3 linked regions of the Oreochromis niloticus genome follow. The protein of the gene in region 3 binds, or shares a complex with, the protein of the main gene of each other region. Links are inferred from orthologs where the notes say so. Each region holds a gene or a part of one and is shown on either strand. Other genes may lie near its edges.

Evidence for each region. Proteins that work in one complex are often made in the same cells at the same time.
Region 1: nup160 (region 3) and nup85 share a complex: the UniProt entries of both Homo sapiens proteins name them as parts of the nuclear pore complex. The link is inferred for Oreochromis niloticus from reciprocal best matches to the Homo sapiens genes NUP160 and NUP85.
Region 2: nup160 (region 3) and nup107 share a complex: the UniProt entries of both Homo sapiens proteins name them as parts of the nuclear pore complex. The link is inferred for Oreochromis niloticus from reciprocal best matches to the Homo sapiens genes NUP160 and NUP107.

The regions. Positions count from the first base shown.
Region 1 is NC_031969.2:17,372,232-17,379,859, reverse strand, and holds the start of nup85 (nuclear pore complex protein Nup85), read right to left. Parts: upstream 3,018-7,628; 5' UTR 2,735-3,017; exon of another isoform or gene 2,731-2,734; intron 2,635-2,730; coding exon 2,602-2,634; intron 2,219-2,601; coding exon 2,128-2,218; intron 1,486-2,127; coding exon 1,329-1,485; intron 1,187-1,328; coding exon 1,116-1,186; intron 953-1,115; coding exon 909-952; intron 622-908; coding exon 552-621; intron 462-551; coding exon 340-461; intron 208-339; coding exon 73-207; intron 1-72. Other genes in the region: small ubiquitin-related modifier 2, read left to right, coding at 3,547-3,567, 5,836-5,967. UniProt on the Homo sapiens protein: Essential component of the nuclear pore complex (NPC) that seems to be required for NPC assembly and maintenance. As part of the NPC Nup107-160 subcomplex plays a role in RNA export and in tethering NUP96/Nup98 and NUP153 to the nucleus.
Region 2 is NC_031981.2:19,599,205-19,606,730, forward strand, and holds the start of nup107 (nuclear pore complex protein Nup107), read left to right. Parts: upstream 1-4,509; 5' UTR 4,510-4,657; coding exon 4,658-4,665; intron 4,666-5,929; coding exon 5,930-6,012; intron 6,013-6,018; exon of another isoform or gene 6,019-6,113; intron 6,114-6,222; exon of another isoform or gene 6,223-6,470; intron 6,471-6,672; coding exon 6,673-6,768; intron 6,769-6,863; coding exon 6,864-6,958; intron 6,959-7,445; coding exon 7,446-7,526. Other genes in the region: slc35e3 (solute carrier family 35 member E3), read right to left, coding at 504-563, 643-753, 889-1,281. UniProt on the Homo sapiens protein: Plays a role in the nuclear pore complex (NPC) assembly and/or maintenance. Required for the assembly of peripheral proteins into the NPC. May anchor NUP62 to the NPC. Involved in nephrogenesis.
Region 3 is NC_031972.2:2,109,264-2,116,403, forward strand, and holds the start of nup160 (nuclear pore complex protein Nup160), read right to left. Parts: upstream 3,010-7,140; 5' UTR 2,940-3,009; coding exon 2,849-2,939; intron 2,409-2,848; coding exon 2,300-2,408; intron 2,226-2,299; coding exon 2,015-2,225; intron 1,357-2,014; coding exon 1,134-1,356; intron 1,058-1,133; coding exon 867-1,057; intron 779-866; coding exon 542-778; intron 456-541; coding exon 358-455; intron 244-357; coding exon 159-243; intron 81-158; coding exon 12-80; intron 1-11. UniProt on the Homo sapiens protein: Functions as a component of the nuclear pore complex (NPC). Involved in poly(A)+ RNA transport.

The DNA.
Region 1 (7,628 bases), on a different chromosome or scaffold from region 3:
CTATTTAGAAGCATGATTAAAACAATTTCAGCTATCATTCAAAGGAAATAAACCACTGCATTTTCATCTTACATTGTAGAAGGGCATCTTGCTGAGCAAGGTATCCATCTGCTTGTACATGCTCCTGGCAGCAGGCTGTAAGGTGCCCTGTTTCACCAGCATCTGTCTGACTTCTTCCAACCTGCCCTGCAGCACATAACTCACCACCTGCACAGCACACACATGTGATCACTCAGGTCTCTCCAGAGAATTCATAACAGACAAAACACAGATGAAGCAGCAAATGCAGAACACCAACAGTGGAGATGTAATTTTAAAGATGTAACATGCTGCACCTACCACGTCCCAGTAGTCGTGGTGCTCAGCAGGGCTCTCACTTTGGAGCACCTCTCTGGCCCTCTCGTCCACGTCAGCCTTATGTAACCTTACCCAGTCCAGCAGGTGGAGCAACAGGGAGCCTGCTGAAAACACAGACACAGCCATGTTGCAGATACGTTTGTTTGGGTGTTTCTACAACCCCAAAAATCCAGTCATAAGATGCGGATTCCAACCTGGAGCAGCATCGATGAACAGCACTTCACACAGATTCCAGATCAGTTCTATGGCCAAAAGAATGGACACCTTTAACAAAACAAAGCAGATCAGGGTCAGGATAATGCCACTAAACAATGCAACGAAATGTACATCTGAGTAAAAAACTGAATGTGGATTCTTCCTCACTAACTGAGCATTAATGTCCCCTTTCAAATACAGGCAGTTTGACTGTGGTCATAAAACCCACAGAGCTGTGCCACGCTACTCAATTAAATCATGACATTATTAGTCAATTACTGACAGAGACACTCACACATGCTCTGTATGTGGACTAGTCCAGATAACGTTACTGCCACACAAACATTAGTACTTACCTGATTTCCACACTGAGTGGCCAACTCTACATTTCTGGTAGAAACTGCAAAAAGGAAAAGTTGTTTAGTGAGTAATCACACACATTTCCTTTGTTTTTATTGTATAAACAAGACTATAAAATAGAAATTTGAAAAAACTGCCAAAACTTTTATGGTTACATCAAATTGAAATTTTTTGCCAAAAGAAGTATATTTCAACAGTATTACCTGCAACTTGCTGAAGTTCCTCCATACAAGCACGGATCACGGATCGATAATTTTTGCTGATACTAACAAATCTAAGGAGTAAGGCAGAGGTAAAATTGTAAAACATACAAAGTGGGTGCTGCTTTGTGTGACTTTTTCAACTATTGTTATGCCACCGATATGCAATCCAACAATATGAACAAACAGAGGTGGGATTGCACCACGCGTCCTTACTGGGGTTTTTTACTCTTGCTAGGGAGTTCCTCTCTAATTGTCTGCAGGCCGACGAAGATGTGGTGAGACTCGTTAAAAAGCTTGCGTAAAATGGGGGAATATATGTCCTCATCTTTCCTGATCTCATGGATGAATGAGCAACCTGATCCTGAAGCACCTGAAACAAAGGCAGGTGGTGAAAGAACAACAGTAATATTATAGTTATTGTCATTACACATATAAAACAAAATTTAAATGTCTGAAAAAAATGGCTCAAAATATGTTTATTGAAAAATGTATATATGCACATGTCTAAAAGTAATCATAAAAACTATAGTAAAACACATCAAACAGTGCTATGAAAAAGTTACCTAAACAATAAACTAAATTAAAACAATTCTGCCAAGATGAGTGGGTACAGCGATGTGAAAGACTCGCTGCCAGTTATCCCAAATGCTTGATTGCATTACTTGCTGCCAACAGTGGCACAGTCAGTTACTAAGTTTGGGGGCAATTACCTTTTTAAGAAAAAAACAAAAACAAAACAAAACACAACAACAGGGCCTGATAGCACTGATTGCCTTTTATATTTCATCTGGTCATCAAAAATCAAAATGTGTTTGATAATATGAAACATGTAAGTGTGACAAACACGCAAAAAAAAAATAAGACATCAACAAGCGGAAAATACTTTTTCACAACATTGTAGCAGACATTTCACAGGCATTCACTACACCATTCATTCTCTTAAAAAGAAAAGGAGAAACAGAGGGAAACTGTGAAAGCATACATGGTGTCCTGTGCTAATTTTGAAACATACCTGATGCTTTGTATAGTGTCTCATATACAAGAATATCACCAGGACCCCATGCAAATCCCATGTGCTTTCCATCACTGATTGCAGGGATATTCTGCAATTAAAAAAGGAGAAACACTGTTACTACACTGAAAATGATGTGAATAACATGATGAGGGTTAAAATTAAATCATTCCGTTTCAGATTTAATTATAATATTATGTGAGAAGGTTGAGTGGTGACTGAGACATGGTCTAGCTATATTACTAACTCAAACTGTAGTTAATGCTGCTCGTAATTCTAACTCATCTTCTTATAATCTTGCCACTTTTATACTTGTGACATGGCTGAGTGTGTGCCCCTTTCCATTTCTTGACAACTTACAATATAAATATTCAAACGGGTCGTTAAAATAGGTGTTTGCGAAAGTTAGCCTGTTAGCAAAGCCATTTAGTGCCAATGAGGAGTTAAAAGCACTAAGCTACAGTGGCTACTTACAGTAATAGTGGGCTCAACGTCTACCTCCTCCATCTGGGAACAATATCATCGACACAGAAAAGACAACAATGTGAACTTTTTTGGCTATAAACACGCCATGAACTGCAAATGTGGACCGGTACTGCTTACGCGCCTCGCTCTTTCAGTCGAAAGCACCTGCTGCGCATGCGTTACGATGTCACCGAAAGGGGTGCCCGTCTACCTGCCTGTTTTTCCGTCGGCTGAGCTTGACTCGGGATTTTGGATTTATCGCGACAAATGCAGAAAATACAGCTTATCACTAACTTTATAACTGCCTCCCCGGACTCACCTACGAGAGGTCATTACCAGCATTAAGAAGCTGGGTTTGTCTTTTGCTATCCACAAACATGCTACCCACACTAATGTCTCCAATTGAATCTGTGAAGAATCAGTGCAGCTTTGCCCTGTACTGTTACAGTTTGAGTTCGTAAAGGCCACCATTGGTTCAGTACACCTACACATCACCATCAGGCAAAAACAAAAAAACAAGATGGCCACTGGTATTTAAAGGGTTAAAACGAAAAAGGAAATGGAAAAGTGCACATTTGGCTCTCCCCATGCAGTGAGGATCATGTGTGGTGATGCTGACTGAACTATGCTGCACCCATGCGAGCTCAGCAGGGCGATAAGGGGTATTTAATGAGATAACCGCTTCTCAAAACCTGAAAACAAAAGGGAAAACATCGCCGTGCGCGTGCACGTGCATCTGCCTGCCTCTTTAACGCGCATTGTGACTCTCCCGCCCTTGCCCAGACTGCGCTTTCAACCTCGTGACTACTCGGTGTCCACTCAACGCTCGTTGAGGTGGACGCGCATGGGCGCGTGGCCGCGCACGTTCGGTTGTAATAGTCTAAACGGGCACGTGTACGTGCGCGTACTCGTGTTCTTTGTGTGGCAGTGTAGAGAAGCGCCAAAAGAGTGACCATGGCTGATGAAAAACCAAAGGTGAGTGTCTCCACAGTGGATTGAAATGCCAGTTTACTCCGCCTGATTTTTTTTGACACGTGCGTGTGTAGAAATACGGTTATTTCCGCATGTTTCGCTGTGCCTTTTTGCAAAGTTACAAGCTGAAATTCAACTACTAGCTGTACCTACTTTGATAGACCGGAAGGTTTGTGAACGCGCATCCAATGGCGCGCGGACCTCTTTCTGCTTGATAACACACAGCCAACCAGCTGGTGTCATCCCCACTGCATGCCTCATTTCGCCTGTGTGTGTGTGTGTGTGTGTGTGTGTGTGTTTGTGTGTGTGTGTGTGTGTGTTTGCGTTTGCGTTTGCGTTCTTGCATGTGTGAATGGCTTGTGCCACTGTGGGAGAGTGTACCGGTGAGAATCTGTTGGTGCCACTGAAACTATATGAATCATCACTGTGGTGATCTCAGGCTCACTCTGAGTCTGCAGGCGAAGCGAAAAGGGAGGATTTAAGATTTAAATTTTTTAAATTTTAAATTTTGTTTAATCCGAGAAATAGTTTGTATACAGTATTGTGCAAAAGTCTTGAGCCATCCCTCATTACTCTCTGTTTTGCCTACTCAGTGATCATACCCAAGTTTTCCAGGTCTTTCGTGTTTTTTCCTATTTGGAAAACACATTTCTTTAACTTACTTTTTTTATGCCACAAAAGGCTTAAAATTGTGTTTTTGCACCAACAAAGTGATTCCCACTTTGGGAAAAGACCTAGCATATCTCAGCACTGTGTACAGTGTGTCCTTACATTTTAGGAAATTGGACAAGTGGAGGACAAAAAAGGTTACAGACTTTAAGATGAACAGATGATCAGCATCTGAAATTCATGCCCATAAGAAATGGGAAAAATTCGGCAAAAACCTGACACAGGACCTGAGGCATGCACCTGGACCTTCAGATGATCCATCTACTGTCCTCTGAAGCCTCATCAGAAATGGCAAGAAGCCATTTTCAAGGAAGAGAAAAACGAGGAGAAAAAGCTGAGGTATCAAAATTAGACAAGAACTGAGATTTATAATTTTTTTTGATTTAAATCATCAATATGTACAGAGGAGGTCAAGAGAGAGGTACAGCAGTGAGTGTCTACATCCATCTGTCAAACACAGTGGAGGCTCTGTCATGGTTTGGGTCTGCATTTCAGCCAATGGTGTTGGGGGATCTTGTCACAGCTGATGGAAACACAGAAAAGTACCGTCAGATTTTGATCCACCGTGTAATCATCTGGAAAGCATCTGATTGGCAAAAGGCTCATTTTTGAGCGCAGTAAAAGCACACCTTGGATAAAAAAGAAAATAATTTTTTTTAAAAACAGTGGAACACAATGTCGGTGATGGGTTGGTCTCCCCAGAACCTGAACCTCAACATTATTGAAATAGTGTAGCATCATGTTGAAAGAGATTAGACCAAAAAGCAGTCAACATCCAAAGAAGAGCTTTGAATGTCCTTCAAGAACCTTGGATAACTACCTAGACTACTTAAAGAAATTACAAGAAGGCTTTCCTTGGAGAGTTCAGGCTGTGTTGGAACAATAAAGTCTGGTCATATGAAATATTGATTTTCAAGCTCATACTGTATTCTCAAATACGTTTGCATGTTTCAATAAATTGCTGCAACTATTTGCCATTATCCTAACAAAATATAAGAAATGAGTGGTGGCTCAACACTTTTGCACAGCACTGTATATCTAAACAATTTCAAAATATGCAAATCAAACTGGTCGCGCATTCTCCAGTCCTGGGGAATTTTACGCCTTTGGGCTTATCAACCTTCCTTTTATGGATGCTGACATATCTTTCTGGCAGTTACACATTGTGAAAGTGAAGTCAAACTCATAGCAGTGCTGCTTTTGTACAGCTCAGTCTTTTCCTACTCTGTTTTGGCGATAATGACACGGCTGGGTTGATACTGACATTTGCCTGCTTTCTTCCTCCAAAAGAAAATTGATCAAGAATCAATAAAGAATTAGCACAATTGATAATGTCATGGATATTAATAAGCTCTTGCCAATATTCTTCCCTAGCCACCTGGTGAGCTGTTTAGGTGTGAATTCATTATTTCATCACGCTTCTGCAAAATTAAAAGACCACCGAAGGCACTAAAGGGACTGAAATTACGCATTTAATAATAACAGAAAATACCGTGCAGCCTTTTCCCCCTGCAAACCTGTAACTAGTGCAATGTTCTGGTTAGTCAAAGTCATTTTTTTTTGTTCCTTCACTGTGTTTCTCTCTGTGCTTTTATCCCTCAGGAATCAGTGAAGACAGAAAACAATGAACACATAAACCTGAAGGTAGCGGGTCAGGATGGATCTGTAGTGCAGTTCAAGATCAAAAGACACACACCGCTCATCAAACTCATGAAGGCCTACTGCGAGAGACAGGTGATTATGGCCCTGAGGCATTACACTAACACTGATCATTTCCTAAATGGGCATAGATCTTTATAAGCAGAGTGTAGCTACAGTTAAATAGACTCCTTGTTATTTTCTGTTCTCACCACATGGGGGGAACTCGACTTGGAGTATTATTTCCCCAGAAATATCTGTCGAGTGCTCCTCTGTACACCTCTGCTACTAATCATATATACACTTGATGTAATTGATAGTTAGCTGTTGGATTGTATTCTAAATAACATGTTTAGGTGTTATTAACAATAATCCTGCTTTCTTTTAATTGACCTTTACCCTGCATCGCTGCACACCATTTACAGTTGGCAAAAAGACACGGGTGTATAGAAATAACATTTACTGGGAGAGTTGCCTGCCCTCTGTGGAGCAAGGCTTGCAAGTGCTTACAGGTTATGCTGTTTTAACATCATAAGGAAATCATTACTGGAGTTACTTAATGTTTTAGAGGCCCGACTTTGAAGTTTGCACACAGTTAATCGTGTTTTACAACCGAATAGGATACAATTAAACCATTTACTTTCAATTCTTTGACACTTTTCACACATGCATTTAATGACTGCAGATTATATGTTTGTATTCTAGATGCCAAAAAAAGCAGTTATGCCAGGGCATCTTAAAATTTACCGTAAAATATATGCAGGCATTTTAAAAAGAAGGTTTTCATAGGACTATGTGCGATCCTCTGAAAAACTAAGTACACCTTTACTACTTCAATAGGGATCAAGGGGACAAGTAGCAGCCAGGTGTTGCTAATCAACTTGTACTTGATTAACTCATGCCAACTATTAAGCGAGGTGGAGGGGTCACGATTTGGGTTTGTTTTTAAGCCACAGAGCCACAGGCCGTTTGTCTGACAGCTAAAGCTTGGCCAAAAGTCTCAAATACTTTAATCACATTTAACAGACACATCACGTGCTAAAAGATCCATCCATCCATCAGACAGTAACTCATCACAGTTGTTGTTTCACTTTTCCTTGAAAAGGTTTCTATTGCAGTTCTTCTCTTCCTCCTCAAATGCAGTTAAGGTCTACAGCTTTAATGCAAATACCACCTTGATAGCGTAGCTTTAACGCTTTACGTGGCTCTTGCATCCCTTAAATGAACCTCCCTTATCGTCATCTGTGATTTCACAGTAATCGCAGAAGACATCTAATCTTTTCCTCCTGCTGTTATGGATTAGCTCAGATTTTAAGCTGTTCTCTGCCAAGCTACTTGCTGTAATGGCATGCAGGAATTTTGACTTTTGTATGAATTAGCACTGCACTGAGCATCACTCTGATTCTCTATTAATTGCAGCTGTGTTTGCATTGCTACAAAAGCAATTCCCAAGGTTTTCTAAAAGAGCTGTGCACAAAAGTAAAAAAATATGTAATAGAACATGAGGTCTGAGATCCTTTTTATTTGAAAGTCAAATAAGGGTTCAACTTTGTGGAAGAATGGAAACCCAATCACAGTGTTATCTGTTCCTTGGACTCCCATCAGGGTAAAAGAGATGTTTGTCACACAGCTCTTTTTTTAAAAGTACAGCCAGAACCAGATGGTTATCATTATTCCTTCATTTCTGCTTCACAGCAAGACATGTTTTTTTTTTCTGTCTCTGAAACGTCAGCTGCCTTATCTTCAACATGAGCGTA
Region 2 (7,526 bases), on a different chromosome or scaffold from region 3:
CATGACGGTAACACGTCCTGAATACTTTATATCAGCAAGTTACAGGACAATGTCAACAAGCCTTAAATCATCTGAAAGTATCAGAAAGTACCAACACAACTCTAGATGACAACTCGTAACAAGTCCCATATAATTCTGTACCAGTGGGTCCAAGAAAATATCACGAATCCAAATCAAGACACAATTCAGCAACCTGCAAATCAAATATGAAACTTTTAAGTCTCTAAGAATCCCAAGACAAGAATAACAAGTCCCAATTCCAGTTTTAATGTAAGGCCAAACTAAATCAAGTTCCAAAGAAATTCTAACATCTTATAAAATCCACAGACAAAATAATCCCAAATAATGACCAACAACTCAAGGTAAGCAAAGTAAGCATTCCTAAGTCCAGTTCTAAGCCCATCGCATAATAAGCAGCATTACATAGGAAAACTGATTAGATTATCTAACACTAGATACTGAGTATTCAGTGATCTTTTACTTGGTTTGTGGCTGGGTCTCACCTGATAGTATAAAAGCTGCATGGAGTTCACCTGGAGCTCATGTTGCTTTGCCCCTACCCACTGAGAGAAACGTGGAGAACAGTTAATGACTTTACTTCAGTCTCTGTGGAGTGTTTTGTCAGCATATACATTTACTCACCACTTGGTAAAGTGATGTCACCAGAACTCCAAGAGACGCGAACACAATCCCCAGCAAGTTGAACCGCACATCATAGTACGAGTTCAGTATCACTCCTAATGTTATGGGTACCTGAGGAGAGGGGAACAGATTGTGCTGACATTGTCTCTCACTTACCCCAAAGTGACCCAAACCCCAGTATCCTGCAAGAATCATTCAGATTGGCATGTTTCTACAGCTCTAACAAGCAGATGGGGCTTTGCTAACCAGTGTAAGTTTAATCTTGGTGGAGAAGGTCTTCTTGTAGTAGGTAGTCTGGATGAGGATGATGACAGGAGTGGTCATTGCTTTAGCCAACTGGTACGTTCCTATCGAGTTGTTCTGTAGGGAAAGGTTGGTGAAGGCCACGAACCCGCAGAAGCTCAGAGCCAGCCACACAATCCTGCGAATCGGAAGGCTTTTTGGAGCAAAAACATCCATTTTCTGGCAGAAGTAGAGTCCCAGCCAAGTGACCACAAAGTGAACGAGGGTCAGTGTCATGTTGGGGAAGCCATAGTGTACGTAGATCCATTTGTTGATGAAGACGATACAGATGGAGGAGAACAGGTTGACCAGCAGGCCAGCGACAATGCGCCTGTCGGCTAAAAAGCTGGCAGCCATGATCTGGGAGGCCTCAGAGTTAAAGTTACTCAGATGGAGCTTTGTTGAACTTAGCTGAGCTGCTCACACTGGTGAAAGAGAGATACGAGTGTTAGAAAGTCTAAAACAAAAAAAGTCTAGAAGCTCATGGTACCATGCATGATTTTTACAGCTGCTTTAATACAGAAATGCAAATTCAAGTTAGATGAACCAAAAAAATAATATAGTCCAAACATTACTGGATTCTTTTCATGGTCAATTTTACACAGACAGGGCAGATTAATCAGTTTACCTATGATTAGAAACATGGGTTGGGTTCCATTTTTACCCCAGTTTAAATTTCTACCAAACAGGTTTACAATCATTTTTTCTCTTCAACAGAAAGATGTCCAGACATGTTTTATCTATTACTTTGACTCCACTAAGTTTGTAATAGAACTTTAACACCTCTTCCACCTGCATTGTTTGTTTACCATCAACCTGAATTTCCCGGAGGAACCTACCCAAGGGATTATTATTATTATTATTATTATTATTATTATTATCTATCTGCAAGCTACAACTAAAATAAGTGTTTTTCTATTTGAGAATCCAACAACTACAATAAAAAGTTCATTCAAAAAGGTTTAACAAAGTACTGAATTAACTATATGAAGGTAAAGATATTATCATATTTTTACATAGACCTCCATTTTTAAAGTCTCAGAAGTAATTGAGCAAACTAATTTAAATATAGGGATTATTTTTGATACTTGGATGAAAGTCAGTGATCACCAAAAGCTGCATTTACTACTTTGAGATGCTCCGCCATGCCTTTACTTCAGCTCCTGTCAGCTGCTGCTTGTTTTATTGGGTCTCACTGATTTCAATTTTGTCTTCAGTCACAGAAAGGCTGTTTTATTGGTTTGAGATCCGGTGATTGACATGTCCAATGAAGAATATCACATTTTTATTTTAGTTTACTTTTGCAGCCTTCTTTAGGTCATTATGAATTTCCACTTTGAAGCCATTTAATCGGTTTTGTGACATTTGTCTGAATGTGAGCAGCGAGTACAACCCTTTATACTTTGCAATCCATCCTCATGTTTCTGTCAGCAATCACTTCAAAAATAAGCATTAATAGTAACCAGTAGTTTGCACCTTGTTGTAAATCCTCTCCATTTCCATTCATGGAGTCATCTCTTAGTTATAGACTTTGACTGTGATAGACCTGCCTCCTCAAGAGTCTTTTACTTGGTTAGATGTCATGAAGTTGTTTTTATTATCCACTTTAATTGTCCGTAGTGGCCTTTTGGGCCTTTAGGTGCTGCTGGGCTGAGCAGTGCGTTGACTTGGTGACTTCTGAAGTTTCTGCTCTCTATCATAGATTTATTTGTGTATTTAGGGTAATAATGGCCTCCTTCAGTTAACCCACGTTGAGCGCCCCAGTGAAAAACTTTAAAACATAAATTCAGTATTGGGAAAAAGAACCAGATCTTTTATCTTCTGCGAGGGAGCAGGGCTCATCTGGCCTTGAAACTGCTTATCAGTTTGCCCAATTACTTCCGAGGCTGTGAAAATGGGAGACTGTGTTTATGTCTGTAATTCCTAATCAGTTAGTGGACTACTTTTAATAAACCAGTTGATAGTCTGTGCTTCAATCACATCTTCAGTGTTTAATTTAAAATCCACTCCAGGTGTGGCGCTGTACAAATAGTTATGGACCTAACTGAATATTACAGATTAATATTGGTGTTTTTACTCCAATACACTGAAAGCACACAGAAGAAAGTTCCTTAAATTGTAATCCAGTGTCGTAAATAACATAATAATCGTGAAGTCCTCTACAAGCTTTCAGACTACCGGAGGGAACATTTTGCCGTTTGTAACGGTTAACGGTTAAAATAACGGAGTTCTGCCTGATGCTCTGTCTTACTTTATGACTTACTTAAAACCATTAGGTGGAAACCGGTCGAGCTACTCGTTCACAGCTCCACTCACATCTAAAACGATACGTGGTATATATTTTTAAAAAAAAAAAGACTTATCCGCTTCTCTGTCTGTCTGCCACGCACTGTATAAAGTTTACCTCGGGTCATCTTTCCATCTGCCTCCCTGCTTCTCCTCCGTCTTGCCTCGCTGCCGCCAAACAAACCCCGGAGTGGTACCGGTCTTCCCCGGCGTTCGAATCTCCTCTCCCGGCCTCTGCAGTGCCCAAACCCCCGCTGCTGCGCCGGAGGAATGTCTTCCCTGCTCTTCCGCAGATCGTAACACAGCCGTGACTTCCAGCAGGAGGAGAAGAAAAAAACACCCAGTGAGTGAGTGAGTATGTTCCTGCTTCCTCCCAGTTTAACACCGTTTACCGTTTGTGTCTATCAAGCAACAGCGGCTGCTAACGGACCGGAGGGAAGAGGAGCGCAGAGGTGGTGTATGTGGCAGATGTCTCACTCCATAGAGAAAACCGGGTGGAGCCCAGTCCTCTGCAGAATTGCTTTAAGTCAGCCACAATGAAGGGTTTTCCAGCCTGTTTAAGTCCGTGCCAAAGCATCTCAGTCTGATTTAAGTCCAAACTACCACACAAAGAACCTAAAGAGCAGCAGTCCCAGACCATCACACCACCACCGTGTTTGACTGTTAGTATGATGTTCTTTTTATGAAATGCGGTGTTAGTTTTATGTCAGGTGTAACAGGACTTAAACCTTCCAAAAGTATATTTTCACCAAAATATTCTGTGGACTTTGGGGTCATCAAGATGTTTCTTGGCTAATACGAAACTAGCCTTTGGCCCGTCTTTGGTCAGTGGTTTTCTCCTTGGAACTCGCCATTTTTGCCCAGCCGTTTTCTTATTGTTGAATCATGAACTCTCACCTTAACTGGGGAAGGTGAGGCCTGCAGTTCTTTAGATGTTGTTCAGGGGCTTTTGTGACCTCCTGGTTGAGTCATTGATGGGCTCTTGGAGGTTTTTTTGGCTGGCAACTCCTGGGAATTTTCACCACTGTTGCAAGTTTTGTGGATAATAGATGTCACTGTGGTTACCTGGAGTCCCAAAGACTTAGAAATATCTTTGTAACCCTTTCTACAGTGATAGATGTCAGTGACTTTGGTTCTTATCCATTTCTTTATATCGTGGCATTATGTGTTGCTTTGAGATCTTTTAGCTTACATCAGACAGGTTCTATTTTAGTGATTCAATAGATCTGGACGTAATCAGATTTGGATTGTTTTTTTTTTTCTATGATTAATAAAATACTTAAGTTTACAAAAAACAGTGGAGACATATACAAGGCTGGATGCAATCTAATTGCGACTCGTGGGGGCAGCAGTGTGAATTAAGAGACGCAGTCTGCTGAGAATTGAAAAGAAGTAGAAGAAGAAACCCCGTTAAACCTCGTGAAGCGGGAACTGATAACTCACCGCTATGGACTGGTAAAAACATTGTTTTTAAGCGTTATTCAGCAGTTATACACATTTTATTCTTATGTATGTTTAGTTGTGCATGTGTCTGGTGATTACAGACCGTTGGCTTCTTATTAGTCCGCTAGTGTGCTAAATTCAGGGACTTCAACTTTGCTAGCTGACGCTAACAATGCTAACAGCGCTAATGCTGCCGTTCACAGTGAATGGCGAGGCTAACCGGCTAAATGCTCTGGTTTGGGTACGTTGACAGTCGGGAACAAGAGCTGCTCTCCAGGGTGAATAAAATAAGAACTACTGGTTTAGTAGAGCTGTTAGCAGCCAGTATTTTGGAAGAACTACTGCAATTAGGGAAGTATTACATAAAGTTAGATTTACTAGGTTATAACTGAACTACGTTAAGTGTTATAAAGATTGCAATATGTTGTTGTTTTATGAGTACTAACATTTGATATGCTCTCAGCTATATAGATCAGCCATATATGGCCAAATTGTTTGCTGTAGTTGTTTTATTTACATTGCATGGGTTCACACAGACCTGTGACGCTTCTTGTTAGTTTAGGCACAGTTAAAGCCAGTGACTAAAATGTTTTTTAAAGAGAACCGTCGGAAGTGCCACGGCTTTTTTGTGTTGAACCCACAGTAACCTTTTATAAGTGATTAGAAAATTAAATTGCCCTTTGTCTTCTTTTGACTGCTTCTAGTAATTTAAAGATTTAAATGTAATGTCAAGAACAAGGTTGATGTCCAGAGCTGTGTCGGCTACAGAGAGATAAAGATGATGAGCCATACCATGAAGCTCTGGGAAAAGAGATGCTGAAGCTAAGAAGTGAGGGCCTTAAAAAGCAAGAAGCAATATGGCTTCACGGAAGGGCAGGTTTACAGGATCTTAGTGAGACCTGCTAAAATGTATGGTTTGGAGATGGTGGCACTGAAAAAATAGGTCGTCAAGCTGAAGTGACCAGGATGGACAGGATTAGATACAAGGACAGCTCAGGCTGAGATGGTTTGAACATGTGCAGAGGAGGGACTCGACAAAGGATGTTGAAGATGGCCTCAGGAGATTCATTGATGGTGTAAAGGTGGACTTGGAGAGGAGAATTTTAGGGACAGGATGACGGGTAGGGAGATGATCTAATGTCGCGACCCCTAAAGAGAGCAGAGAAAGAAAAAAGATGTAAATTCAGTGGTGTAAAAGCCTCTGAACTGCACATAAATTAATATGTTTATAATTCTCTAGGTAATGTGCTTTCTTGTGCTTCATCTTGTCCTTCAGGGCTCAGAGTGAGCTGCCGTCTCCGGTGGTTCGAGACGACGAGGTAACGGTTGCTGCCCGCAGGAGGAGGAAGAAAGTGGCCTGTATCCTGCTGCAGAAAGACTTTGACCTGATTCCTGTCCAGCCCCTACACCCACCCATTCACCCCAGCAGCTGCTGATGGGTCTTTTAATAAAGGGGAAAGGTGGAAATATAGCTGCAAGCTTTATGGTACATTCACCTTTCTGAAATGGGAACAGGAACCTGTAACCCTACGATTTAAACTGTGATTTGTCCCCTCTTGTCCATTTTAGATGGTGGAGTCACAGAATTGGAGGGCTTGATAACCTAGTTCAATTAATGTCGGTTGGTTTGGACTGCTTCATTTGGTGGAGCTTACACACACAAACGCATAAACACAGTCCAGGTGGGACATGGTGTATGGGTTGGATTATAAATGAGCTGCCATTGGTGTGTTACTGTATGGTGCAGAAATTGCTGTGATTATTGAGTCATGGTTAAGCTCTGTAGTATGAAGCAAGTGCTTCATGCTTCATTTCTATTTTAAAAAAAGTGGATTTTGTATTTCACTTTACTAATGCACTAAACTGACCGATTGATTGCCACCTGCATCTGTGTTTAGTATGGTGGCATAAGTAGACTGGAAGAGCTTAATTTATCTGGGTTTTTGTTGTGTGGAGTTGTTTGCTACAGTGTTGATTGATAAAGTAGAAGCTGCTTGTTTTCCTGACTGTTGCTGTCAGTCCCATCACCCGGTAGCGGCAGCCCTGTCATTTCCACAGTGACACCAGCCCGGCCCTTGCTGAGGAACACACCTGCTTCACTCTTCAGACAAGCAGGTAAGATAGATATATGACAGACAGACCCACAGGTATCAGAGGCATTTATATTTGACTAAATCTCCACTCTCTTCTCATTCATCTGTTTGTCTCAGTTACTCCCAGAGTTCCAGATGTTTCATCCATTTTGGCCCCAGGAGGTCGAACGCCTCGATACACACACACGCCCAGAAACGCACTCAGCAGTCTGGTAAGACACACACTTTTCTATTCATGTATATATATTTTGTTAAATAAATGAAAACGTGAGTTCTTCGCACTTCTACTGTTTTCCATGACACAAAGAACGGTCTCTTTGTATTAGTGATGTCACAAACTTTCTTTAATGTGAAAATACAGACAGCAGAAAAACATATTAATTAGTGAGGGTTTTGTTTAGGTAGTTGAGTTGTGATTGGTGGAAATGCTGTCACTAACCCAAACAGGCCAGCTGCTGACCAGTTAGCTTGCTCAGATACTCCAGACCTTCAGTGTATCAGTTTTGTCAAACCCTTCTTGAACTTAATGATGTATTACTTACAATCATATTATGTTGAACTCACTGCTAACTCCATGATGATGCTGTGTGTGTGTGTGTGTGTGTGTGTGTGTGTGTGTGTGTGTGTGTGTGTGTGTGTGTGTGTGTGTGTGTGTGTGTGTGTGTGTGTGTGTGTGTGTGTGTGTGTGTGTGTGTGTAGAATCTGGACGACAGTGATTGGACTAACAGCATGTACACGTCGCCTGTTTCGGGTCTGGAGAACACAAGTTTCTTCAGAGAA
Region 3 (7,140 bases):
TAGATTCTCACCTGCAGGGCTTTCACAATGGCCGAGGCTGTGAAACGAAGGGGAGAGAAGAGAACCTCGAGATATGTCTCCTGTCAGGGGGTCAGAGGTCACATGGTCAGCACTACCTGTTCATTAAAACACTGGTTACTGGTCTGAACTGGTCTCACCCGGGGGTCCAGGTCCACTCCGATGTGGATTTCTTCTTCGGGTGGAGGCTGAACAAACACCTGGTTCCACTGAGCCGCCGTGTTGCTGTGAAACATGCCGACAGGTGAGGAACATGTGCGGAGACAGATGATGGAAACAGGTAGAGAACATGGAAATATCAGCAGAGGACAGGAGGAAGACACTGGCATTTCGACTCACTGCTCGAAGCTGATGTATTTGACCACGGTGGCGTTGGATTCGTCCACCCACAGAGCCCAGATGTCCGAGGAGGTCAGCGTGAAGTCCACAAGCGTCTCCTGTTCACAGAGAGCGGTTCAGAATGCAGAAAGTAACCACAAACACAAAAACGAGGCTCGCCCCCTGGATCCGCCCGTGCGTTCACCTGTGTACTGAACAGTGTGGAGATGTGCTCAAGGCTGTAGCGGTTGTTGTCTGTGGCGACCAGCTGCAACACGGTGAACTGCCCCCGCTGAGGGACGGCGAGGTAGACGCACACGCACAAGCCTGTGGTGGAGGAGAACGCCAGGCGCAGGCGGTGACCATGGCCCGGCAGGCGCTTCACGCCCTTACACGCCGGCATGTACTCCAACATGTCCGCCTCCAGCAGACAGCCATGCTCCTGAGGGGGCGGAAGTCACGTCAGCACATGGCGACTCAAACGTTACACATCAACAATGTGTTTGTGTGCGTGTGTGTGATGTCATCACCCTGAGCGACCACATGCGCAGCCGGTGGTCCTGACACAGCGCAAAGATGAAGGAGTCTTCCTCCAGCTCCCGCACGGCCAGGCTGAGCACGAGGTCGGCCGGGCTGTGCTCGCCGCGGATTGCCGTGGGCATCCACCCGGACAGCCGCTGCATCACAGAGCTCCTCTTCAACTCCAGCACCGACATGTTGCCTGGAAACGGCGAGCACACGTCTTAAAATCCGGCCGAGGTACCACGCCCACATTAAACATAGAAATTCCCCCTCACCCTGAGAATCGGGCGATGGCAGGGTGACCACCGTGATGCCTCCTGCAGGAGAAGCCAGAGCGAAGTGTGCGTCTCCGTGGTAACTGAGCCAGGCGAACGAAGCGCCGGGACTTGCCGTGGTTCCCACTGAGCTGGGGATGAGGGCGCTGTGGGCGGGGTCCTGCAGGCTCAGCTTCCCCACATCAGTGAAGATGGACTGCATGTGCAACTCTGTGACCAGCTCCTACACACGCACAGAGGAGTGTTCGAGGTCAGTTATCTCGTTAACAGTTACCGTAGTAATTGTGCTAACAGCTGTATGATTGTATCATTTGCACACACGCGTATTTTCTACTGTGTATGGTGTCCATTTGATTTGATTAGTACGACTTTTTGTCCTGCTCAGAGCTGCCCTCTGGTGGGCGCCTCAGGCCAGTCAGGTCCCACACCTCCAGACTCTAACAGCGTCCATTTGGACACTTAACAACAGCCTACCCCCACCCACCTCACCATGGTCTGAGTGTCCTCCATCACTCACACACAGACTCTGTTCAGTCCCTTTGCTCTCCATCGTGCGCCTTCCTCTGGTATTTTTAAAAACATTTCTTCTGTTTGTTATGTTTTGCTGATTTCTACATTGATTGTAATATTACATTTCACGTTCACCTAAATCTGTTTCTATGGTAACCATGGTAACTATGGTAATCTCACACGGCTGTTGGTAGTTTGGTATCAGACCTTAAAGTCTGAGTCATCTGTCGTGTCCATAGTGACACTTTCATTAATCAATTGATAACGGTAATCAGTAATCAACAACCGCACGCTGTCCTGCAGCTGGTGGTGTGGCTTCTTCACGGACCATAGGACAGCATGCAGGCTGAGGGTCACCGTCAGGTACTCACGCTGCGGTACATGCGTGTGGGGTGGGGCAACAGCAGCCTGTGGACGCTGTGATTGGTGGAGATGAGGATGACGACGTTGCTGAGCGTCTCCTGGATGGTGACTCCTCCGGGCAGGACAGCACAGTGGGTGAAGCGGAGCCGGACGGCGTTGTTCAGCAAGTTGGTGTCCAGAGACTGCTCCACCAGCACCACCGAGTCCCCAGACGTGGACCTGCATGAGTGAGAGTGTTAGCAGAGAACGGCTGACAGCACCTGCAGAGCACCTGGAGAGCAGCTGGTACCCACCAGTGGATGAACCTGTTGCTGATGACCGACAGCAGCTTCCCGCTCTCCTCATAATGAAACGCTCCCGCGCTGTCAGGAAACTTCAGGCTGCCAGGTGCTGCGCTCACACCTGCAGACCGGAAAGACAGGTGAGTCCGGTTTGAACAGGTTCTTGACCTGCAGGTGTCTGAGGCTCTGATCAGCAAGTCACAGTGTTTATCAGATCAATAATCAGCTGCTTCCGGAGGCGCAGACACCATCGACCGCAGGTCAAGGTCACGTGATCAGCGCGGGTTCACGCGTGACAAGGTGCGCAACAGGTGAGCAGCTAACGGAGCTAGCTGATACTAAACGGAGACGGAGGAAGATTTACTCGCTCGCTTGCTCAGCAGTGCGCGCTCACCTAGTCAGGTGAGAGTTCGGAAGAAAAAACAACAACAACAGAAACACCTCCAGGCCGCGCGCGGCTAGCAGGAAGCTAACACGCTAACGCCAGCAGGTACGGGCCGTTAGGCTGTTAGCTCCCTGCTAGCCGCCGTCAGGGGCACGCAGGTGAAGTGCAGGAGTTACCTAGATTCGCAGTGAGCTCGCGCGGCCTCCGCGCGGCCTCTCTCTCGAACCCGCAGATCTCGATGTAGCTGCGCTCCAACGCCGCCGCCATCTTATCCTCGTGCCGCTGCGGCCGCGCGCTGCGCTTTCAAACCCACTTCCGCCTCCAGCTCCTTCTTCTTCTAAGATTCATTTAAGGTAGGAGAACCACTGCGAGGCGCGCCACCTGCCGGATCGGATGACTGACGTCATCATTAAACAATACAAATCCGACTCCGTTTTTTTTGTATGTCTGCTTTGACCAATCAGAGCCCAGAAGGAAATTAACATTATTAGATGTTCTCATTAGATTTTATATGTGTGTGTGTGTGTGTGTGTGTGTCGGATTTTGATTGGCCAACACATTTTGGGGATGGCATAGGCACCGATCGGTTTTCTATCGCCCATTTGCTGGGAGTAAGGGCGCCCTCTGTTTGCGAGGTGCGCCTGCTGCTTGCTGCACAGGGAGGAGAGGGCGGGGCGGCGGTATGGGCTCAAAATGTGGTCATAAATATTTTGTACTTGTAAATCAGGATTTGTATGTGTAAAAAGAATTTGTGTGTGTGTAAAAAAGATTTGTATGTGTAAAAAGAATTTGTGTGTGTGTGTGTAAAAAAGATTTGTATGTGTAAAAAGATTTGTATGTGTAAAAAGAATTTGTGTGTGCGTAAAAAAGATTTGTGTGTGGACTTAGCCAAAAAAACCCTGCAAGTTACAAGTACGAATTTTGACCCTATTTTTCTTCCTTTCATCTGATTGGTCAATGTCATGTCAATCACAAATGTAACAATCCAATCAGAGAAGAGATGGGTTTGGCTGTCGGAGGGGCGCTTCTTTGAACTGCAGGTCCTTGAAGGGAATAAATGCCCTTTTATATGCCAACCATTGACTGTAGAAAACATGGACGACGCGACAGCTCTCCAAAAATGAAGCCAAAATGTCTCTATCGCCCCCTGGTGTCTGGCTGCAGTATAGGTCATAAACCCCGCCTCCTCCATGTTAGCGGATGGGACTGGGGTCAGACTAAAATAAATTTATTCTCCTTAGATAATTTTTTTCCAAAGATTCTGTCTTTTGTTATCAATAGTTCTCATCATGCTGATTGATGTCCAAGGGGTCTCCTTTCCCATAAGTTTGATTCTCATTCCTACAGCGGCGATGTTAAATTGGGGTGAAACGTCATCATAGCGGCTTTGACTGACAGCTGCAGTCACGGAAGAAACTTGCGTATCTGTGTGCGGGAATAGCAGATAGAGCGTAGGCTCTGAGAGGAGGGCCAGCGTTTACGTTCTGAAAACACGACCGAGTGTTTTAACTTGACAGCCTGAGGTGTTCTTCAGTAAACTGGACTACCCGACAGAAGGACCCGAGGCCCCGCTGCACTTTTTCGGTAAGTTAATCGTGTTTGTAAGCTAATCCGTAACTACCGTCCTTAGCTAGGTCCTGAGACCTAGCTAGCTAAAATGAGCACTCGGCTGTCAGGGTTCGTTTAGCTAATCTGTGCAGGTGAATGAACTTACTAAAGAAATTAAGAGAAACGTTCCGGGCTAATCAGTCACTAATTACTGTTACTGCACTTTTATTACAAGTATTATACTGTAAAAGCAACAGGCTGCACGCTGCTTCAGCTCCTGTGCAGAGCTGAATATCAAATATATGCAAACAACAGCATGTTTTCAGTCTCTTGCCACATCTGTAAAGACAGTAACATTTTTTTAAAAGCTTGTACTTCAGTAACTCCTCATTAATCAGGAACTATGGATTAAAGGACTGTAGAGTACTGTAATACTGAAAAAAATGTAAGAGAAGAACTTCAGATCCTGAGTGTGTGAGGACAGAAGAATCAGCTTTATTTCAATTTTGAGGGATAAAATTTATATTTGAGTTTGTGATGGTTCTGTTCTCTTTGTGATTACAGGGGCTGCCCTCAGATTCAGACCTCAGCACCACCCAGTGACAGCAGACAGATCATCCAACATGTTCACATGTTAACTGCAAAATGAACTGATGAAAACAGTACAAAGGTTAAAGTACCACATGTGCTGTCAGTGAAAGCTGCAGCTTTATTGATAAAGTTAAAAACAAAAACCCAAAAGGATTAATCACTCATGTAACTGTGTCACTATATATCAGCATTAACAGGACCTCAGTTTGGTGTTTCACAAAGCTGCTGATCTCAGACCTGCACAGCTTCCGTTTTAAACACTTGATGTACTCAGCTGCATGAAGAGCATATGAGATTTTCTCTGGCACAATTAAATAAAACCTGATGAAGGTCAAAGGTCGTCACTTGTATGTTGAACTACAAACTTGTCATCTGGAATTCTTTCACAGTTTTTTGCAGATAGTGTGTTATTTACCATAAAGTGATTCAGAGTTATTCATACCAGAGTAACCAGAGAGGATCATATATTTTTAAATATATAACTTTCTACAGGACTGAATATAATATCTTTATGTAAAAGTCTGGAGCCTCTGGGGAGTATCCGAGTATTTATAACATTACACAAACCAAAGGTCTCCATCACAGTGTTCATGAAATGCTGGGTTTATCCATCTCCTGGATCGGGCCTATGGAGGAGTGCTGAAGATTTCCCTGTGAGGGAGCTGCTGGTGAAGATCATGAGTCCTGCTTGATCAATGCGATGAGCTTCAGTCTTCCTGGTGTTTCTTAAATGAAGCCTCTCTCAGTCAGTCAACAGAACTTCTGGCACAGGACAGCTGTGATGAAAGAAAAGGAAGAAGTTTCTCCAAACCTCTGGACCCAGGAAACCCAGCTTGGTCCTGATGGTCTCCCTCACTAGTTTCTCCCCAGGGTGAATGTAGCTGTTGATATAATATGGACTCTGTTATTAAATGAAAAGAACAAATTAGACTACACTACTGAAACGTTCTGCTGATGTTTTTAAAGTTTCCATGTTACCAGGCTGTAGAGGGCTCTGAAGATTTAAACCGTTTTAGATCCATTACACTCACAGTCTTATGTTAAAATCTCAAAGGACAGCATTATATTTTTGATATTAACAGTAACTCTGGGCCTCTGTAGAGTGTGCAGATTATCTCATCGCTGTCTAAAAATGGATAAAAACAAACATAAGAAGTGCTGAATCCTTCAATAACACAGACTATTAGAGTAGCAGGTGTGTAGCATCTAGCTAGCAACAAGCCTCCAACACAGCGCGTATGCTAGCGGCTAATCTAGCAAACGAATTAACAACAAAGTGATTTTAGAACTATAAGATGATAAGCTGTGTGTCTTTTTATAACAGTGACATGGTTGTATTTACCTTAATTAAACGAGTCATCAGTCGCGGTAAACCAGCAAAAAAACTCGAGCAGCCGGGCTACGTAAAAAGTGTAGGGGGGCGTGTTTACGGTCAAGTCCAGCGGGTGTGTGGGCGGGAGCGTTACACAGTCGCTCCACCTCAAGTCACTACTGCGCAGACTCTGGCTCCAAATTTGCAAGATGGCAGCCTCCACAAGCGGGGTATTTTGGCTTCATTTTTGCACAATGGGAGGAGGCGGAGTCGCGTCGTCCATGTTTTCTACAGTCAATGATGCCAACCCAGCATTTTCCTTCATCACCATGAAGGAAAACAGTCTGTGGTCGTCCGAGTTTGGTGATTTTTGTGTCACAGGTTTACGTGCTTAATACAGGGACTTCCACAGCCTTTTCAACAGCGCTGCAGACCGCGGGGAGGGGGCAGTGTTTTGGAAATGACAGTCTTCACTACAAAGCTTTCTTCGTTATGAATTAGCATACATGTTTTTATTGAACATCTAAAGAACTAGCAAAAAAACCAAACTCTTGTAGAGGACATAAAGTCAGAGATAGAAACGACAAGGAGCAGGTGCATTTAGTACAGGTAGAGCTGCTGCAAAAAACCACAGAGCTCAGCAGCCAGCGCAACAAATTCTGGATCCTTTGCTTTTAGTTAGCATTAGCAGCACATCCTGCGTCTGATGTGAAAGGACTTTTATGCTGCGCATTAGCAGCACATCCTGCGTCTGATGTGAAAGGACTTTTATGCTGCACACTGTGACTCACAGCAATGGTCCCGGGTCAACCCTGACTTTGTGTTAAACTAATCCTAAAGTAATAATGGTATTTCTAACCACTGACATACCACAACTTTATCCTTTCAACAGCTGCTGAAAGTTAGGGGACCTAGCTGCTATCGGATATTTATATAGAGATCCTCCAGCTTCAAACTGTATTACCCTTCAAGGACCTGCAGTTCAAAAAAGCGCCCCTCCGACAGCCAAACCCATCT